Oryctolagus cuniculus: one gene and its partner. The protein of the gene in region 1 purifies or fractionates together with the protein of each later gene. This does not show direct contact. Links are inferred from orthologs where the notes say so. Each region holds a gene or a part of one and is shown on either strand. Other genes may lie near its edges.

Region 1 (3,679 bases):
ATAAGACAATGAAAGATTCACAAACTCAAAACACAACCAACAAACATTTACTGTTAATAATATAAAAAAAGAATGTGGGATCTATGTTAGAGTGTGGCAGGTTAAGTCGAAGCCTACAACACCAGCATCTCTTGTCCACGGGTTTGAATCCCGGCTGCTTCGCTTCTGAACTGTCGGTTAGCCAAGACCAAAACCCGCGCTCACCTGTTGTGGCTGAGGGAGGCTGTGACGGGCGTGGGCACAATGGTCTGCAAGCCCTCCCCTTCTATCTCCGTGCCGACCAGGCAGATGAGCTGCAGCTCTGGCAGTCCCACGCAGTTCACTTCATGCCAACTTTTACCTGGAAGAGCCGCGTCGAACGGGCAAGACCGCTTATCAAAAGCCAAAGTAAAGGCTCCGAACTTCTATGTGGCAATGTCACCCTTACCCCGGCCTCTTCTCTACTCGTCTAGCGTTTCTGTTACTCAATAATTCCCAACGTAAAAAGATAAGGAAGCTGCAAAACTGCTTGACAAAACTAGCAGCAAATGCATGAGCGACTGCTCACCGTAACGTCAGCGCGGAGATCCCAACCCAGCGCCCGACCCCAGCACGGCCCCAGTCCACACAGAGGTGGGCGGCTTACTCTCCATGAGGTCCAGGAAAACCAAGAACGCTGCGTACACTTGCGTGGCATCTCCCGCATCCAACTCCATCATCTCCAAATACTGGAAATCAAAATGGGGGCGTCAGACGCGGAAGGGAGGCTCGGGTGCCCCTCCAGTGGGCGCGTGTCACTGCACGTGTGCTATCTGCACAGAAGGTAGAGGGCGACGCAGGATGGCATCTGCCTCCGGAGGGTCTGCAGCTGTCAGAACACACAAACTGGGCAAAAACGACCTGTGACCGCGATGGGATGAGACCACACACGGAGCTCCCCTCGGGGTGTGGCCGGTGAGTGACAGAACGGGCCCAAGGCCCTGCCCTTAGAACAAGCAACGCAGAGCCACAGCGAGCAGTCGACAAGGTGAGGGTGAGCCACACGCGTCCGAGACCCGCAGCAGCAGCCGTGGGCTGTCCCGGGGTCTCGTGGGGGCCTGTCACCTGCATGGGGAGACACTGCCGGAACGCCACGCCCCCTCCTCCCCACGCCCGGGAGGTGTCACCGAAGCGGACAAACCAGCTGCAGGGGGAACGCGTCTCCGAGGGGACGCCGAGGCCGCGCGTCCCCGGGCGAGCAGGGCTCGCGCAGGGCGAGCTCCGCGAGGGCGGCTGGGAAGACGGGTGTCAGCGCACAGGTGCAGATCAGGGCTGCCATGCAACCGCAGGCGGGGCCACGCCAGAGGTCCGGATCCTCCGCGCGACGGGGCGCCGAGGGGCTGTGAGCCGGACGGCAGGGGAGTGGTGCCTGCGGGGGCCGCCCTGCCACCACGCTCCACGGACGGACCTAAGTCACTGGCAAACCGAGCCACACAAAGGCAGAGCCGGAAATCAGATACCCACTGGTGTTTATTTCTCCCCGACTGCAGAGTGCGTCCGCTCCGAAGCTTGCTGTCCAGGTCTACAGAGCGCAGGTCTGCACACGGACCCGCACTGCACCCGGCCGGGCCTCTTCACAACCGACTGAGCGGACTCAGTGAGAAAAGTGCTGGGCAGGAAACGCTAAGTCCCTCAGTTCTCTGCGGAACTCGGCCTCCACGCTCAGTCTATCACGGCCTGCACTGGAGGCTGAGCCTGGGGCTGGCTCTGTGCACACCGCAGGAAGCCACGACCACGGGCCACCAGGCCACTGACCACCGGCCAAGTGGCCGGCATCCTGCAGCCCCAGCCACTGCACTCATCCGGGGAGTGAACGGTGGAGGGTCGGGTCTCCCTCTCCCTCTCTCTAACTCTTCCAAATAAACGGTAAAGTCTCTAAAGACAGAGTTACAGAGAGAGGGGTCTTCCATCCGCTGGTTCACTCCTCCAATGGCTGCAACAGCCAGAGCTGTGCCCATCTGAAGCCAGGAGCTTCTTCCCGGTCTCCCACGCGGGTGCAGGGCCCAAGCCCCTGGGCCATCCTCCACTGCTTTCCCAGGCCACAGCAGAGAGCAGCCGGGACTCGAACCGGCGCCCATATGGGAGGCCAGGGCTTTAACCGGCTGCGCCACAGCGCCGGCCCCAGTCTTAAGAAACGTAAAAGAGCGAGCTGAGTGACCAGCACGGCCACTCCCCGCGGCAGACGCCTGACCAACAGCCACCGACCTAAGCCGGAGGAGCCCCACGCGGTGCGCGCCGTGGTCACCCCGTTTCTCAGGGGGAGACCCCCAACACCGCGCCGCCCTGGGTGCGGGGGAGAGGGGGAGGGGGCGAGGGCGGGGGAGGGGGCGAGGGCGAGGGCGGGGGGCGGGGGCGGGACTCGGCACACGGGGCAACCGGCCCTCCCGACCTCGCGGGCCCATCGCCACCCGCACGGCTCCCCGGCCGCGTCCCCGCCCACGCGACACCCCGCACGGCTCCCCGGCCGCGTCCCCGCCCACGCGACACCCCGCACGGCTCCCCGGCCGCGTCCCCGCCCACGCGACACCCCGCATGGCTCCCGGCCGCGTCCCCGCCCACGCGACACCCCGCACGGCTCACCGGCCGCGTCCCCGCCCACGCGACACCCCGCATGGCTCCCGGCCGCGTCCCCGCCCACGCGACACCCCGCACGGCTCACCGGCCGCGTCCCCGCCCACGCGCCACCCCGCACGGCTCCCGGCCGCGTCTCCGCCCACGCGTGAGAGGAGCCCGCGCCCGGCCCCTCACCTTGGGGTGGCTGCCGATCCAGGCGTCCTCGGGGGCCCACGGGCGAGCGCCGCCGTCGCCGCCGCGCTCCGCCATGGCGCGCCGCGCTGCACCGACCCGCGCGCCTGGCTCCGCCTCCCGGCTGCGCACGTGCGGCCCGCGGCTGGGGCCGCGCGCCGGGCTCCGCCTCCAGTGCACGCGGATCGGCGTCCGGCCGGGAGCACGGGCCTCGCGCCTGGGTTCCGCTGCCCCCGCAGCCCGCCCGGACCGGAAGTCGCAGACGCCTCCCGGCGTCGCCGCGTTTCCTCAGAGCCGGGCCGAGTCCCGCGTGAGGCGGCCGCCGCGGCGCTCAGAGCCCGCGTCCGGGGATGCGGGGAGCGGATGAGGGGCCGCGTCCCCAGGAGCGGGGAAGCGGCCTGAGGAGAGGGCGGTCGCCGGCCCGGCGCCGCTGCGGGGTGCAGCGCGGGAGCCTGGGAGGAAGGGGCCGCGGGGCGGGCGGCTCGGAACCCAGAGGCCCAGGCCGGACCCAGGCCGGACGGGACGTCTCCTTCCGGACTCGGCAGGCCCTGGGCACGAGGCCCAGCAGGAAGCCGCCAGAACTCCCGGGCATAGTGCGCCGGGCCACCGCCTAGGGGTGCGGGAAGCGAGCGGGACGACGGGGGGCGCACGCCTGCCCAGGAGAGCCCCAGCTCGCGGGCCAGAGCCGCCGGAGTGCGCGTGGGAAAGTGGAGCAGGATACACGCTGGGGGAAGGAGTGCCAACCCCGGGCCTCCCACGGAGAGTCACGGGACACGGACGCCGGGGGGAGCAGCAGGGCCACCCCTGAGCCTCCCCACGGAGAGTCACGGGACACGGACGCCGGGGGGAGCAGCAGGGCCACCCCTGAGCCTCCCCACGGAGAGTCACGGGACACGGACGCCGGGGGGAGCAGCAG
Region 2 (2,365 bases), on another chromosome or scaffold:
CGCAGGACAGCACGCCGCGCCCAGTGCCCCGCCGCCTCCTGGAAGAGGAAATAGTTCCCGGAACGCCTGCCAGCCAGACCGGAGGGGCCCCGCGGGCGGCTCCTCCCGAGGGTGCGAGCCCTGGAGACCGCGGTGGACGCTGGGCCGGGCCTCGCCCTCCCGCACCGCGCAGAGGAGTGGTGCTGGGGGCGAGGCCTTCCCTGGGGTGGGCCCCAAACCAGGACCCTCCTCCGTGTCCACTGCGGAGGCCAGCAGCGGCGGGAGTTTCTAGCTCAAGCCAGGGAGAGGATTGGAGAGGCGGGAGCCGAAGGGCTAGAACTGCGCCCCCCGCAGCAGCTGGCAGACCCCCGGGGCGCAGCGTCAAACTAAACCGACCCGGCGCCTCCCGGCCACCCTTGTGTCCTGAGCCGCCCCGCTCTGGTGAAGAGAGGCCCTCCCTCCCTCCGCCGCCCCAAAGCGCGCGCCTCCCAGTGAGTGGCCAAACAGGAGAGGCTGGGGGTCTGTCCGGCATATCCAACCACGCACAAAAATAAAGAGATCCGTTTTTAATGGCTTTGGCTTTATGGCAAGAAGCAGGCACCCTCTCGTTAAAGGCACAGAGTCCTCTCTTCTGGGCCCCCTCCTCTGCCCGGGTCTGAGTTCCGAAGGGGTCCCTGCAAGGCGGCGATCCCGGGTGCGGGCGTTGGCAGCGTGCAGCGGCCAGGCAGGGAGGAGGGGAGTGGTGTCAGGCACCAGGGCCAAGGTCCAGACCACAGGTCAGAGTCCAGGCCCGGGAGGCCGCTGGATGGTCCCTGAGAACAGACAGTCCAGGTCTCCCCAGGGCAGGCTGCAGCCCCTCCGCCCCCAGCCGCGTGGTCAGTGCTCCAGGTCCCTGGGCAGCGTGAAGTCCCTGAAGCTGTAGAAGGAGATGTCGCCATGGTCCACCAGCGCGAAGAGCAGGGGGACGTCCCCGCTCTGGTAGGACAAGCGCTTGAGGCTGCAGAGGTCGGGGACCGGCTCATCGAACCTGCACGGACAAGGGCTGCTCTCAGACCTGACCATCCTGGGCTCTGAGCCCCTCCCAGGCTCCCAGGCAAGGAAGATGGGGGCCAGGGGTGGGGGAGCAAGAATTCTAGCATCTGGGCTCTTCTGCCTGCAAACTGGACACCGGGGAGCCCCCAGCCCTGGGTCTGCAGGGGGCCGGAAGAGAATTCTGAGCCCTGTGCCCACGAACCCCACCGACCTACATCCCTTCTGCTGCACAGGGACCAACGCAGGGGAGAAAGACCTTGTGTGGGCCACTAAACCTCTCCGGACTTCAGCTTCCTCTCAGGCCATCGGCACCCTGGCCAGAGAGCTGGCAGCAGCCTGGGGCGGTGCTCGCCCGGCTCGTACCCGCTAATGCACATCCGGGCATAGGGTTTGCCAGGGTTGTTCTTCCGGAACGTGGCCACGGCGTCAGCCTGGTAAACATCAAAGCTGATCTCCAGGTCCCCGGCCTTGCCCTGCAGCCTGCGGAGATGGGAAACCTCAGGACACAGACTGTCCCCGTCACCCTTCCTGCCCACCACCAGTTCCAGGAAGCCGTGTCCTCTAAGGGGAGGGGCTCCCGACTCCCAGGTTAAACCCACCTGGCGTTGCTCCCCGTGCCCTGGCCGTGAATGGGTACCAGCTGTGGCACGTGGGCAGGGGTCCCTGGCAGGCTCCTCCAGCTCACAACCAACCGCAGGAGCTACATCCCGGCCGCCTACCCCCCAGGGCAAGCAGGGTACCGCGAGCACAGCTCGGACACTCACCGAGCGCCTCCGTCAGCCAGGTGCGCTGTCTGCAGCACAGAGATGTGGTGAAGCACGGCGGCTGCGGAGAGCAAGAGCCAGGGGTGGGCAGGCGGCCAGTCACCCGCGCTCCCGCCATTTCTGCGTCTGCCACCCCCTTTTCCCGGTTAGATTTTCAGTACCTCCGAACCTGTTCATGTGTTTAGCTCAGACCATTCTGGCCCCATTAGGGCCCCGTGCTCAAAATTAAGAGCACAGAGCAAGCCTTCCTCTACCTCCTTGTTCTGCCAAGAGGCGGGAGGAGAGAGGACCACAGCTCACCGGGGGCAGAGGCGCCCACGTCACCGTTTGTGGTTTCAAGGACCGCTTGGCCTGACACACCGCCTCTCCCCCTTGCCGTGCGGGCCCTCTGCTGCCACCCGAGGATCTGGCTGTCCCTGTGGGCTCCTCTATCTTGTGCCTCAACCAGACCTGGCCACTCCACACCCCTTCGGAATCCTGACTCCTCAGCCGTCAGAAGCCTGCCGGGCTGTAGCCGGGGGAGAGGGTACCTGGAGAGTCCGCCTGGCCAGGGCTCAGCAGCGGGGTGACGGGCTGGCCCCACAGGTGCG

Evidence for each region. The genes of interacting proteins can lie anywhere in the genome.
Region 2: the proteins of TSEN15 (region 1) and TSEN54 purify together in Homo sapiens (affinity purification with mass spectrometry; 4 studies listed by BioGRID and IntAct, counting the BioPlex papers as one, with this or other methods). This does not show direct contact. The link is inferred for Oryctolagus cuniculus from reciprocal best matches to the Homo sapiens genes TSEN15 and TSEN54.

What each region holds. Positions count from the first base shown.
Region 1 is NC_091444.1:1,817,064-1,820,742, reverse strand, and holds the start of TSEN15 (tRNA-splicing endonuclease subunit Sen15), read right to left. Parts: upstream 2,922-3,679; 5' UTR 2,842-2,921; coding exon 2,767-2,841; intron 2,297-2,766; exon of another isoform or gene 1,483-2,296; intron 708-1,482; coding exon 626-707; intron 341-625; coding exon 205-340; intron 1-204. UniProt on the Homo sapiens protein: Non-catalytic subunit of the tRNA-splicing endonuclease complex, a complex responsible for identification and cleavage of the splice sites in pre-tRNA. It cleaves pre-tRNA at the 5' and 3' splice sites to release the intron.
Region 2 is NC_091448.1:5,052,224-5,054,588, forward strand, and holds the end of TSEN54 (tRNA-splicing endonuclease subunit Sen54), read right to left. Parts: coding exon 2,306-2,365; intron 1,837-2,305; coding exon 1,776-1,836; intron 1,492-1,775; coding exon 1,375-1,491; intron 1,007-1,374; coding exon 856-1,006; 3' UTR 531-855; downstream 1-530.